2 linked regions of the Arabidopsis thaliana genome follow. The protein of the gene in region 2 purifies or fractionates together with the protein of the main gene of each other region. This does not show direct contact. Each region holds a gene or a part of one and is shown on either strand. Other genes may lie near its edges.

Region 1 (6,252 bases), on a different chromosome or scaffold from region 2:
AGAAGGATACGAAAGATGAAACGTTGAGGATGAAGATAGAGGCGTTTTGGATGATGGCAAGTCCTAATAGCAAAGATGGAACAGATGATCCGTTGCTCAACGTGGTGCAATCAGAGTCGGTGGATTTGTCTGGGTTGGGTTGTGGTAAGGTTTTGGTAATGGTGGCTGAGAAAGATGCGTTGGTGAGGCAGGGTTGGGGTTACGCGGCTAAGCTTGAGAAGTCTGGTTGGAAAGGAGAGGTTGAAGTGGTGGAGAGTGAAGGAGAAGATCATGTTTTTCATTTGTTGAAACCTGAATGTGATAATGCTATTGAAGTCATGCATAAATTCTCAGGGTTTATTAAGGGAGGGAACTAGCTTTGTGCTCTCTAGAGATATTGGAATAATTTGGTACTACATATTTTAGTTGCGTCTCTCAGTTTCTGTAATGTTTCAGTGATTGGCTTTTCGCCCAAAGCAACACAATAAAAATTGAAGATGAAAATATTTTAGTACGAGATGTTTAATTCTATAACACTACGAGATTATTAGCTTTTCCAATTGTGAGGGGAGACGAAAGAAGTTTTACACTTTCCAGTTTTCACCATTATCATCTTCATAGAAAGTTTGAACACAAGGATATGAACTTAAACAAAACAAACAGAGAAGACAACATTTGAAACACAGCTCTGCTCTTTTTCTTGTTCCGCAGCTACTTATTCAGATCAAATTCCGAAAACGAAGAAGCTTTCTTAATGAGGGAAGTAGCCAGAAACCTGGAAGAAGCTTTCTAGATGGCGATTCCAAGGGATTTCTTGAACTTCTCAACCTCTAGATAGATAGTTGAGTAAGGCAAGAACTCTGAGAAGTAATCTCCACTTAGGTGGTTAATGGCAACAGCAAGTTTCGGGATCTCTAAGGTTTCTTCATTGGTGAGTGTTCGAATAAACCTTGCTGGATTGCCTCCCCATAGTTCACCAGATGGGATTCTTCTGCCAGGTGGTAAAACAGAACCAGCTTCTAGGATTGAGCGGGTTTCGACCAGTGAACCTTCCATTAGGATTGAGTGTTGCCCGATGATGCATTCTGGTTCGATAGTGCATGATCTTAAAAGACTGTATGCACCAACTGTCACGTACCTATCGATCAATGTTTGTGCTGGTAATCCTGAAAAAAATCAAAGTAGAAAGTATCTTCTAAGATCAGATTTTTATCTATCATATCAAAATTCAAAAGCAGCACCACAGTATGCTCTATCCTTCAAGATGTTAGTATAGAAAAAGCATGAAGACTGGTTGATAATACAGAGCTATTAACCCGAAAAAATGGTGAATCAAGTAATTAAGTACTAGTTGTAAACTACAGCTTAATCAAACCAGGAGGCTGTTGAACTAAAGACTTTGACACGGAATCCACCTTGGTAAGACTAAAAGACGCTTATGTTCATTCAGCTTGACGCAGCTTCAGAATCTCGGTTCCAACCACTGAATATAATATCAACTTTCTGCAAAATTCTCTCCGCATAACTAAAAATCTTTACTATGACATAGTTCCTGAAACTTCTCCAGAGCTGCTAGGCAACTTTCTACAACTAAACAAGATGGTCTCCACCATGCTAATCTATTCAACCCCTGAATTACCTAAATTTTAAAATCAAGCACATATCATCAATGGGTTTCTTGCTTCCAATATCACTAATCACCTAAAGAACTACGCAATTCTATGCATCCTTGTCTAGCTAAACGCAAAATGCTCTGAAGATTAACTTTACTGAACAAATATCATTCATGATTCTTGATCTGGGGACATCTTCACTCCAAACAAATATGCTTACTTACACTTCACTACTTCAGATAAAAGTGTAAAATCTCCTTAAAGGTGAGACTCTACATTTTCCATAATCAAAATGGAAGATGAAAATGAAAACCCTAAATTCCAATATCAATGATTCCATTAGCTAGCAAGCAGTAACTACAGCAATTGGATATCCAGAACTCAAACTAGAAGCTACAATGGAACCATACAGAGACTCAAATTCCGAAAAAATGACAAAGAACAAGAACCTGTAGGCGACGACCACGCAGCATGAACAACACACCGTTCCTGGACATTTGAGCAGAATCCAACGGTGATCTTATTAAGATCTCCTCTCAAAACGGCACCGTTCCATACAGACGAGCCGTCCCAGACGGTGACCTGACCAGCCAACACAACGTTAGGTGCCACGTAAGCATCTACAGCTACCTTCGGTAGCCACTGTCCCAGAGGAATTATCTGTCTCTGGCCTCTGTAGTCCCATTTTACCCGATCCGGCGACGGCGTCACCTGCGATTTCGGTTTAGGTGTTTCCGTCGTCGCCACCGCTACTGCTTCCGCGGCGAAGTAACGCCGAATCAGATTCGATGAAACAGCCGATGTTATGCTTCTTTTAGAGATTCGTGCTAACGAAGTCGCCATTGTTATGGAATCGGATTCTTCAAGGTCTTGTGTAGAGAGAGAGAGAGAGAGACAGAAAGCTTCCCGGAGGAGGAGACAGAGAGGAGTCGTCGGGAGATTCTTCAAAATCTGAAAAATGAAACTATTTGGAAAGTTTTATTGGGCCTTATGGGCTAAGTTAATAGAGGCCCATTAGTCATGCCATTGTCTGCAACAAGTTTCATGTACGATATAATCTTTTTGGTATGGTATTGATATGCGTTCGTGTTCGTCGTTTTTACAAATTTTAAATGCTGAAATATGTTTTATTCCATAGTGTAAGAACAATATTTTCATATATAAACGCAAACAAAATTTTGTTTATGTTATAACCACTCTTTTAACAAACTACATGGCAAACACATACGAGTACATCAAAAAGCTTAGCTTTGTTTATTTTAAGCTAAAGATTACAAAAAAAAAAAAATTACTGCAAGGAGAATTTTGGATTATTGGGCATTGTGATCTCTCAAATCGATAAAAGAACTTCTTAAACCTCGAAGCTAACAACTGGCTCGCAACATTTGTGTGTAGCCTTCACTTGTGTGTTGATGATGGAGTCGTAGCAATACGCTCGCAGTTGTTCTTGAGAATAGGAGGGAAGAATGGGTTCAATGGAAACATATGTGGCCAACAGTTTGTATCTATAGCTGAAAACGTTTTACAACATGGGGCTTCAATGCTAGCAAACTGACCAGAAAATATCGATTTGTAGATTTCTTGTACACATCCTTGGACGTTAAAGAGAGATGACCAACATTTTATGATATCAATAGGAAGACCCGGTGGGAAAAGTCCGGGGATCGTAGGGAGTGCTTGAGAGAACCCTGGCCTCACTTGAAGAACAATGGTCATAGCTAAGATCACAAAGAGAATAGCTCCTGAGTTGTTTTCCATCTCTCTCAAGCCGGTTTTCTTCTTTCTCCTTTAAGGTTCTTTGCAATGATGTAGATGATTTTGGCTATATTCACGAAACTTAGATTTATAGGGTTATAAGATGAAAACAGTGTTAGCATAATAAGGAAGGGGTCAATATCAAATTTGACTACAAAAAGTAACTCATGACAAAGTTTGTTTTTACAATAAAAGGTTCTAAATGACATGCTTAAGATATGAGACAGAAGAGAGGCCAAATCTAGTTGTTTTACATGTGAATTATATTACAATGATATTTTTATTTCTTATTGTCCAAAGCGGCCAAACTCCTACAAATGTTACAATGAAAAGAACCGATGCAAGACATCAAAGTTGTGTCAATTATTCACTAAGTTCTGAGAAGAAAAACAAACAGAATCCACCAAAGTTTGGTCAAACCAAACACATTTCTCTGCAACTAAAAACCGCATCGGCTTTTTATTCAGTCCCATGTCCATCATCTTGCAGCTGCAAACCATCAATCGAAATCCTATATTAGCAAATAACAATTGCAAATGAAAACATATTTTTGTTCGGTTATCAAAAATGGTTAAACCTCTAAGCCATTCCACGCTTGCGTTTCGCCTTTTCCCATTGATCAAGTAAACAAGTGACACCTTCTTCAAGTGTAGCCTTCTTATCTGCTTTGAAGTTCCATAGCTCTGTTGTAATATACCTTCCACTCGGGTTATACTCGTTTATCTCCAACAAAGCTTTCGTGACCGCATTGTAAGGACCATCTCCCAAATCTGCCTTTAGCTCCCTCAGCTTTTCGTCTCTATCATCTATCACTTCCTAAACACAATTAACAACAACACCAAAAAAGCTTTTTAATCTTTCAGAGAGATTCAACATAACAAACAGAGTCAAGAAGGCGGTCTTACCACTTCTCTATCTTCATTTTCGAGCTTGACCCGCTTGAATGGATGCCAATCTGAATCTTTGAGATAGTGTTCCCAAAGTTGGAGAACTTCAACTGCTCGGTCCTCCACATCTTGCTGACAATACTTCTGCTGCATTGCATCCACGAATGGTTTCGTCACGAGCTCTCCCATTCTCTTAACACCGATATTTGTGTTCCATTCTTTCATAATCTATGAAGGCACATGAAACAAACAAAACCAAGATTTTAGTAAAATGTCAAGCTTTCTCATAGCTTTTCGATGTGATTGAAAAGAACAACACTTTGAATGATACATACGTTTACCAATTCTTTATGAGCTTCTTGAAGCTCATCGTTGGTCCTGCGCTCTCTAAGGATAAGAGTTTGGTTAAATTTATCGAGATCTGCGAGTTGTGCTTCCTTCTCACCTAAATCTTTGAAGATGATGTCCACCTCTTTCACAACTTCAGCATCGCCATCTGATGCCATGTGCTTCATCACATTGAGCTGTCCTTTCAACTGCTCAACTTCTAGCTCAATCGCTTGTTTCTGATCTCTCTGTCTTTCTAGTCTTATGATTTTCTCATGAAGCTCCTCCTTTTGCCTCTGTTAGGTACAGAATTTTCTCAGTAATCACGAAAATAAGCCCAACCATTTTTACAAAGAAGAAGAAAGTCACTAACCCTTTGGTCTTCAGCAAGTTTTTTAACTTCCTCGTCTGCCTTTTGTTGTTCCATGGCAGCTAGTTCAAGAGAGCTATTCTTAGATGCATTCTGATAAGAGAAAAAAACCAATTATTTCTTGAACATATATCTTGAAAAGAGAGATACAGAGAGTAAATGGATACCTGTTCAAGATCTTCAGACAATTTCATTCTCTCGGTTCCATTGTGCACTTCGCGCTTTGCCAACTCATTACATTTGATTTCGAGTTTCTTCCTCTCTGACTCCAACAGCCTCTTCAATTTCTCATGATCATCAACTATCTTTTGAATGTGACTCATTGTTCTTTCTTGTATAGCATTCAGCTCACGGTAATGCTTTTGCTGATTCTTCTCCTTCTCTTCCATCAACTGATTAAGTTCCTCTGACTTAACTGAACAAAGCTCCTCAATCTCCTTCATGTCTTTTTTCTTCTCTTCTACAAGTTGTCTCAGGTTCTGCACAAGCAATTCCTGTTTCCTCGCCTCTTCTTCCGTAAGCTCAGCTATAGTTTTCAGATCACCCGTCTTCCTCAAGTTTTCTCCAATAATATTATTACCGTTATAATCATCAGCACGAGCAATCCAACCGTAAAGACCTAACTTGGGACCGTCTTTCTTCAACCAGTCCTTCTTCCCATGACCATCTACTGTATAAGCCTTGTCAAACAAAAGACCATTGTGAAGTCCATTCCAATCTTTGTTAAACTCCACAATAGCTGTTCCTGAATGTCCCAAGTAGTTCCATAAAGGACGAACTCTAGTCGGGTTAAATCCTCTTAGAATATACTCATCCCTTAGCTTCGATCCACTCTCGCCCGCAGATCGACCATCTTGTGCCTTTGTAGTTGGAATATTCACCACAATACCTGTTTCAACCACATATACACAAACACTAAACACACATTGCAGTACAATCTTAAGGAGAAAAGTAAGAACCTTTAAAGTGTGTACCTTTCCAAGGATACACAAGCTTCTCGTCATGATCACAATCTTGAATAGGGTTTCCGTTTTTCTGACGCTTTGATGAAGGCTCTGCTTCTGAAGCTGAATCAGCAAGATCTTGTTGAAGGTATTTGACAAGAGCAAGGTGACTTGCTTTCTCCTTTGCACTTCTTTTATCAGAATTGCTATTACCAACTCCAGAAGCATGTTGAAGAAGATCTTTGTATTGAAAACTAGTTTTCTTCTTGTTTGGACAATAAGGACAGATAAAAGCTTGAGGAGAGAGTCTCACTTTCAGCTTCCCACCTTTAAGGTTTAGGTACATTTTGTCTCCATACTCATCCATTTCAGATTCA
Region 2 (8,504 bases):
AAGATGAAACCATCCTCCATGGAAACAATGACGGTTTCAGAAAGCAAGGATTACAAGTAGTTGCTGGACTCAGTAGAGATCTGGTTAATGTGAAAAAATCAGCCGGAATGGATTTCGATGTACTGAGCAGTTACGTGACAAAGCTCGAAATGGGTCTTGATAAACTCCGATCATTTCTCAAGACAGAGACAACTCAAGGGAGGTTCTTTGATTCGATGAAAACGTTTCTCAAAGAAGCAGAGGAAGAGATCCGAAAGATTAAAGGAGGAGAAAGAAAAGCTTTGTCAATGGTGAAAGAAGTAACAGAGTATTTCCACGGAAACGCTGCGAGAGAAGAAGCACATCCTTTAAGAATCTTCATGGTGGTGAGAGATTTTCTCGGAGTTCTCGATAACGTTTGTAAAGAAGTGAAGACGATGCAAGAAATGTCGACATCGATGGGTTCAGCTTCAGCTAGATCGTTCAGGATTTCAGCAACAGCTTCGTTACCGGTTCTTCATAGGTATAAAGCAAGACAAGACGACACAAGCTCGGATAGTGAACACAGCAGCAACTCTTCTACGTGATGAAAAAACAAAAAGCTGTACAGTTTCTTACACCAAGACACGAAGAATTAAATTGGTGTTTCTCAAGCCGGAGGAGATATCAGACATTGAGTTGGTTTAGTCGGAGAACACGGCCGTTTATAGAGTAACAAACACTATTAAAGTCTATAAATGATCAAATTTTCGTAACAAATAAGGAACCTTTTTTTTCTTAGTTTTTTATTTGTCAGCAATTTAAATATAGATAGATATATATATGAAAATTTCGTAATTTCTTGATTTTGGTTAAGTTTTGTGTTTCTTTGTTGTTGAAGGAATCAGAACCCAATACGAAAGTGATTAGAAAAAGGGATTTTGAAAGGAGAAGAAAATATATACTACACATGATACGATCATTGTTGAGGATTTGGTTTTGTGACAATGAATGTTTCCAACATTACTAATTTAATGAAATAGAAACATGTGATGTGAGTGAGGCCGATTTTGTGTACACTTGTACCACGTCCTCTCAGCTCTTACTGCTTTTGTCTTGTTCTACGTCACTTTTTCCCACCACGATCTTTTCGTTTCCTTTTTTCCATATTTGGATTTATTAAAAATAACAAAGCAAGTTGGGTCCTATAAAATTTGGTAGATTCTTCTTCTTCTGTTCATTTCACAACAAGATGACTCACTGAGCTTATTACCAATTTTGCCACTTAATCACTAAACCGATCCGTAGACCGGATTTGATATTCCAGAGACTCTCTTGGCCGACCAAAATATGTGTCATTTATTCAAACTCATTATGTTACACTTGTTTTAAAGATAGGATCACAAGAAACGCTTAAAACTCGCCCTTCTTGAGATTGACAAAATGTTTTTTAACAGTTTGTCACCGGTAAAAAGAAAGGAGAGCCTCCGATTTTCTTACTCCCCAATACATTCTTCACCAGAAGTTTCCATCTCGACTCATCTTTCTTGCTCTGTTTCTCCATCTTCTCCTTAAGGTTTCTGCATAGAGGGACTCGACATTGATCAGAACCTGCGCAAACACGTGAATGCAGTTCAAGGAGTTGCCACATTCTCTTGCAATGCACGCAACCTCCTGGAACTCTTAGCTTACAGCCTGCGAAATGCCGGATCAGTGATTCTAATCCCTTGCAAGCTTCATAGTTACACGTTGCATGGTTCGGTTTGAAATCTTTATCGTGTGGCCCTATTGTTTTACATCCATCTCTGCATATATGAACAAGTGCTTCCATTGCTTCGTATAGCTGCGAATATATCCTCTGATCATTGCGTTTTCTCATCCTCTCTTTCCGCGTCTGCGTTTATGTTCAAGATTTAGAATTTAGGAGAAAATACAGGGAAAAAAGGAAGTTTATTAAATCACTACTTACATTTGCTTCGATGATTACTGAGTCTCTAACTTCTTTCTCAAGAAAGGGATGGCTTTTCTTCATAGCTGTCCATGCTTCTGTCGCAGAGAGTTCGTTAAAGTGTTTCATGATCATACGGTGAGATATGAGGCTAAGCCGAGGGAAATCACACAGCAGCGCAAGCTGGAACACATCAACCACATTCTCAGTGGTAAGCAAACCATGTTCTAGATGCCATTCACAGACCCGTTTCAGCTGAGGAACCACGTACGCGTGTGACAGAAGTAGCAAATGCATGATAAACTCGTTCATTTCTTCTTTCTCATAGCTACACAAAGGAAATCAGATTTCGTCAGTGAAAAGATCATAAGACGAATGTTAAAAGAGGCAGAGCAAATAAATATAGAGAGCAAGAAGAAATGGAATTTATATATACCAAGAAGAGTAGAGGAAACGGATAAAAACTCGCACAGCATCATGAGGGACACCTCGGATTGATATTGTATGCCACTTGCCATGTCTCTTGGCTTGCTTCAACATGCCTTTGATCACAGTGGAAGCAGTTCCCTATTAATTCAAGAAAGACAATGTCCATATCAACCAAGTCTAGACCTTTCTAATCAACTGCTAAAGTCTGTATTCGCTTAGCTAAAGATCCTAACTACACATTGATAATTATGGTCAAAGGAGTTATAAGGAGAGCTTACAAGGATGTTGGCATGAGCATAGATGATACTGCCATTATCTGTATAGATGACTACATCAGCTTTGTATCCGTCATTGAAAAGACGATCCCACATATCTCTTGTGGCTGTCGAAACGCTGCTATGCCCAAGTTTTTTCTTGAGTCCATCAGATTTTGATGGAAGAGGAGGAGGAATTGGCACAGAAGATGAATCTGCAGATTTGAAAGATTGATGAAGATCAACACAACCTGTCACCATTCTCTTGTTTAGCTTATCTTCTCTTCCCTGCATCAATCAAATGAAAATATATATTGTCGATTCTTTAGCCACAGATAAACTTCATTGTCATTTCTACACGAAATATGTGACTCAGACAACAATTTTCACAGCATTATGTAACCAGATCTCATTTACGATTACAAATCGAATAGGATAAGAACAAATCTCTACATATATATTCACACGAAAATATCAATCAGAAATAACAAGAATTCTTGAAACAGATCGATAGAAAATGTAAGAACAAGAATCAATCAATGCTCTAATTTGTTCCGACATATATACCTTGAAAAGATTCAGACCACAGAATCAGGTTGCTTCGAAGAGGCAAGTCAAACAAAATTAACGAGAAAATCTTCTCCTTGGTAGAAAGAGCATGAGAAGAAACTCTCTCTATAGAGAAGCTTGAGAGATCAGAGATCTCTTACCATTATATAAACACACACACTCACAAAAACAATAGAAGACGACAAAAAAAATCCCACCGAAAGGATAATTTATTGTTTTAATTTCCTTATTATCTCACTTTTTTCTTACTTTTGTGTTCAATAATTTGAAGATATTTTCTTGGTTCATATCATCAACAGAGACACCCACCTGCGAAAATTACCCGAGAGGCGCGTGGAGTCTACGGTTACGAAACGGACGGCTGAGAATCCACGCGCCTTAACGGCCTTTTTTCCTCGTTCTTGAAAAAGCTTTCGTCAAGTTGGTTTTATTATCGGCTTTATCAATTGAAACACGACTCTGCATGTTTTTTTTTTATAAATGATTTAATTTAAGAGCCGTACAAAAACAGATCAGTGTGTCCTTTGTTTTTTTTGTTCTTGTTCGGCGTTACACAGCTCATAATTAGCTGTTCGTTTTTTCAAACTTTTATCCGTATTATTATCCTTTCTTCTTCAAAGATAAATTTAGATTAGTCTTAATTTTAACCACATGATCAGATACTCTCTTCAAAAATGTTAACTAATCGTGAATTATGTTGAGGTCCGCAAAATTGCGTCATAAATATTTTACTGGTCTCTCTTCATATTTCTTAGCTTCGCTTGAATTGATTGTTACCCTTTTTTCCCTTTTTTTCTGTGTTTACTATAATGCCACGTTTCTTCTATCGAATAATCTAAAACAGAAGAAGAAGAAGTCAAAATGCTTTTTATATGATCATTTTCTTGTATTTTTTTTTAGTTTTTGATCGGAGTAAAGTTATAAGAACTTCAAAAAAAAAAAAAAAAAAAAAATGCATGATGATGCCAATCTTTTTCTAACTTTTAAAGAGTATTGGAACATAATACATATATCATGTAAACTGATATTTTTAATTGTAATTTTATATCATATACGGATTTAATTGTAATTTGAGCATCACCCAGTTGTGCAATTGTAGTTATCACAGAAGTGCACATTGCAATGTTGTTGAACAACAGAAATACCTTGACATCATCTCACTGACCCATGCAGCCATGCCTAAACTTGGACCAGAACTCATGTAACCACCGGGTAATGTCAAACCTGAACTCTGAACTCTCAGGTTAGTTAAACTCATCTCTTGTTGTTTCCTTAATTCTAAATCATCACTAAACCTGTATTAAAGTGTCCCAAATTTTTTAGATAGAGATGTATAGATGCACATTTAACCCACCTGAGGAAGAACTTATTAACTATTACTGGAATAACAAGATCACCAGAGAATGATGATCCAAATAAAGGCAACGAATTTGAAGTTCTACTACATTTTCTTCCATTTTCTCCATTATTTTGCAAATACATAAACACATAAAACGAATTTATTTCCATTTTTCCCAGAAATATATAAGAACAAGCTAAAACACAGGGATACATGAATCCTCTCAGAAATCAGAGCATCGACCACGTTGTTCCCAATCGCCGTACCGAGTCGGTTCAGGACCTCTAGGCCCTCCAATCTCACCAGTATCTTCGTTCACAAACTCTCCACCTCCACCACCTTCTCCTTCCTCTTCTTCTTCCTTCTGCATCTGCAGATTCTGTTGAAGATTCTGATCTGGCTTCACGTCCCGGTTCAGATCCTGATTCGGAGATGGAGCTTGCGGCGGAGGAGGTGTACCGGAGCTTAGAAACCGTGACACTGGCTCGAGGAATCTAGAGGAGACGGATCGGCTTGGAGCGATCAAACGTACGATGTTGTTCGTCGCCATTGTTAGATCAGATGTGTCGGCCAAATCAAGAAAGAGATCCGACCTTCACGGTTTGTGATAGTATAGGGTTCGATAGTCATTTAGGTTGGGCCATAATTGGATAATAAGCCCAGTAGTATCTAGGCCCAATCATTTACATGTTTATAAATAAATTAAGAGAATTAGAGAGTAAATTTGGCCCAGTATAATTATGTTTAACAAGCCCATCAGGAGCTAGGCCTAACATGTTTATAAAACAAATAGGAGAGAATTAGAGGGTAAAGTTGACGTGGGCTGATTTCGAACCCGTAACCTTTTTATATATTAGACCTCATTACCAAAAAGCGATTCGATTATCTCATAAAGCGTCATGTGTTTTTTTGTGCCACATCAACGGCTGTGAGTGGTTAGTCACTAAAGAAAAGTCACAGGCTGTTATATAGTATTGGCTTCGCTATTTATTTTCGTCTACCACGAGAAAAACAAGTCGTAATTCTTCTATCTTGATATCTTCACCGCCTGCCGATCTCTCTCAATCTCCGATCAACCATGAGCAAAGGTCCAGGACTCTTCACCGATATCGGCAAGAAAGCCAAAGGTATAATTATCATCGTATCGCTCTTCTTCTATATTCCTTCTCTCATCGTTAAGATTCCGGTTGAAATCGCGCAATTAGTGCGTGCGTTTATGCCTGTTCATTGATTCGAAGTTCTGGTGTTTCGAATTTGTTTATCCTGTAGATTGAAATGATTTTTAGATTTTGATTATATTTTGGGTGATCCTATCGAGTTTAAGCTGTTTCTGTTTTGATTTTTCCTTCTTTGTAGATCTGTTGACGAGAGACTACAATTCCGATCAGAAGTTCAGTATCTCCACTTACAGTGCCTCCGGCGTGGTATGTTTATTATATCGATGCAAACTCTGTACTATTTTCAGACTCTTGTTCGATTTCGGTTTTAATGCGTGGTTAAATTTGTGGAGTATCGTTTTGATATTCGTTTTCAACCATTGTGTTTTCCGTTTTTATTTAGCTGCGATTAGACCTTTAAGAGTATATGTTCTTGGTCTGATCGATCTCCATGTTGAAATCGATTTCTTAAGTTCTGTGTTGGTAATTGTCAAGGGAACTGAGAGAGAGAACGAGTATCAGGATGATATTTACTTCTGTTTAAGAACTAGATGTTTGATAATGAGTGAAAATGAGGTCAACGTTTGTATAGATTTCACTTTGGTTACAAAAATATGCCATAAGAACTCCACTATATGATTCATTTTACAATTTCTTCTTTAGGTGCGCTGCTTATAGTAAAATTATTAAGTTATTGTTTGTGACAGTTTCAATTAGCTAATTGCACTTTTGTATTTAGAAACCTAATGATTGTCTGCATATGATCTAGCAGTCTAACTCCATGGTTAATTATACGAATGGAGAGCCTTAATTTTTTTTATTTTTGGTCTGTGTTCTGTTGTTTAGGCCCTTACGTCTACTGCTCTGAAGAAAGGAGGAGTTCATGCTGCTGATGTTGCCACCCAATACAAGTACAAGAATGCTTTGTTTGATGTTAAAATCGACACTGATTCTAGTGTAAGCGTTGTTGTAGAGATCTATTATACACTTTATCATCTAAAACCAGATTAATCTGTTAAGCGTGTTTGTATTTTTTCCTTACAGGTTTTGACAACAGTCACACTTACCGAGATCCTCCCATCAACAAAAGCCATTGCCTCCTTCAAAGTCCCTGATTATAATTCCGCCAAGGTTTATATTCCTTTTTAATGAAATCACAGATGTTTACTTCTCAGTGGTTTGAATGAAAATTAATCCTTCAGCTTTTGAATTTCATTAACAGCTCGAGGTGCAATACTTCCACGACCACGCAACAGTTACCGCTGCTGCAGCTTTGAAACAAAACCCACTAATTGACATAACAGCTACTCTTGGTTCGCCAGTCATCTCATTTGGTGCTGAAGCTGGATATGACACAACCTCCAAAACTTTCACCAAGTACAATGCCGGGATCAGTGTGACAAAACCAGATGCTTGCCTCTCCATAATATTGTAAGAATACAAATTTCAAAATAAAGCAATCACTAGCTCTAGATGTGGCTTGTGTGGGTCTCATCTGAGTTTTTTTTGTTCCAGGGGAGACAAAGGAGACTCACTCAAAGCATCATACCTTCATCACTTTGATGAATTTAAGAGAACCGCAGCAGTTGGTGAGGTTTACAGGAAGTTCTCGACAAATGAAAACACGATAACGGTTGGTGGATTGTATGCGATTGATCATTCGACTGCAGTGAAAGCTAAGCTCAACAACCATGGCACACTTGGTGCTCTTCTGCAGCACGAGGTCCTGCCCAGATCACTAGTGACTGTTTCCAGTGAGATTGACACTAAGGCTTTAGAAAAGCATCCAAGGTTTGGTCTCTCTCTTGCTCTCAAACCTTGAGAACACACACTCACATCAGACCTGCTTGAGTCTTCCTACTTTTCTCGTATGCTCTCATTGTTGATTTCCTCTACGGCAGGACGTGAGAGTTAGCGTTTTTTTCCTCCTTTTTTCCTTACGTTTAATTGGAATCAATAAATAGTTCCGCAGTGAAATTGACGGATAATTCTTTTTTTGGATATGCTCGGTTTTGGTTTTTTTTTTATCTTTCTTTTATAATTAAGCACTCTTCTTGAATATACACTCAGTGATTTTTTTCTTTTCTTTTAGTACAATCCAGTTAAAAAAACAAAAAAACATATAAACAAGTTGATATGATGTAAATCTCTTAGACATTAGCAAATCTTAGATAAACAAGTTAATGGTTCCTTCTTCCGCCGTGAGACTGATAGTGGGTTTCATAATTTAGGAACAATGATAGGAGGATACAAATAAAAACCGTTTCTACAACGAGCCAGTTTGGTTTAGTTGATCAGCTGCTTGTCATCGAGGTACATTCGCAAAGGAGATTCTCCCAATATTGTTGAGCCTAACTTCAAATGTTACCATTTTTTCTACGATTGGTGTAGAGATCATGTAGAGCTTTACAATTCACAACTTGCAATTACCAGTCTATATGTCCGACACCAAGAAGAATTAACGTATACAACGATTGATTGAAATGAATGATGAATTATCAATAAGGATTTAAATCTCAGTCCAATTTCAATAGCTAGAAATATAAGCATAAATGAGGTACATTGATAAGAAAACCACAAAATTCAACTTCGAATTCTGAATCATATCATCATCAATGAAATCAAAATAGAAAACTAGAAAAGAAGAAGAAAAAACCATACGTTAAGATCAATCTACGTTCTCCATGACATCTTCGGCTGAAAACTTGGTTCCCTTCTCCTTATCGGCGGCGGCGCGTCCATTAGCCTTACGCTCCAAAAGCGACTTCCTATCCTTATCGAGACGGAGCTTAGTGATCATCACATTCGAAGCATTGACTCCGACGTTGACCGTGGATCCGTTGACTTTC

Evidence for each region.
Region 1: the proteins of VDAC2 (region 2) and GAMMA CAL2 fractionate together in Arabidopsis thaliana (co-fractionation; one large-scale study listed by BioGRID). This does not show direct contact.

What each region holds. Positions count from the first base shown.
Region 1 is NC_003074.8:18,031,290-18,037,541, reverse strand, and holds GAMMA CAL2 (gamma carbonic anhydrase-like 2), read right to left. Parts: upstream 2,608-6,252; 5' UTR 2,436-2,607; coding exon 2,042-2,435; intron 1,146-2,041; coding exon 769-1,145; 3' UTR 501-768; downstream 1-500. Other genes in the region: CXE12 (alpha/beta-Hydrolases superfamily protein), read left to right, coding at 1-356; AT3G48675 (egg cell-secreted-like protein (DUF1278)), read right to left, coding at 2,991-3,350; IDN2 (XH/XS domain-containing protein), read right to left, coding at 3,927-4,163, 4,253-4,462, 4,570-4,857, 4,935-5,024, 5,099-5,820, 5,906-6,252.
Region 2 is NC_003076.8:26,929,647-26,938,150, forward strand, and holds VDAC2 (voltage dependent anion channel 2), read left to right. Parts: upstream 1-5,513; 5' UTR 5,514-5,576; coding exon 5,577-5,625; intron 5,626-5,854; coding exon 5,855-5,922; intron 5,923-6,150; coding exon of another isoform or gene 6,151-6,231; intron 6,232-6,501; coding exon 6,502-6,612; intron 6,613-6,699; coding exon 6,700-6,786; intron 6,787-6,877; coding exon 6,878-7,086; intron 7,087-7,170; coding exon 7,171-7,446; coding exon of another isoform or gene 7,447-7,477; exon of another isoform or gene 7,478-7,837; intron 7,838-7,886; coding exon 7,887-8,004; downstream 8,005-8,504. Other genes in the region: FH6 (formin homolog 6), read left to right, coding at 1-566; BT4 (BTB and TAZ domain protein 4), read right to left, coding at 1,409-1,852, 1,928-2,234, 2,343-2,473, 2,614-2,883; AT5G67490 (succinate dehydrogenase assembly factor), read right to left, coding at 4,722-5,048; AT5G67510 (Translation protein SH3-like family protein), read right to left, coding at 8,324-8,504. UniProt on the Arabidopsis thaliana protein: Forms a channel through the mitochondrial outer membrane that allows diffusion of small hydrophilic molecules. The channel adopts an open conformation at low or zero membrane potential and a closed conformation at potentials above 30-40 mV.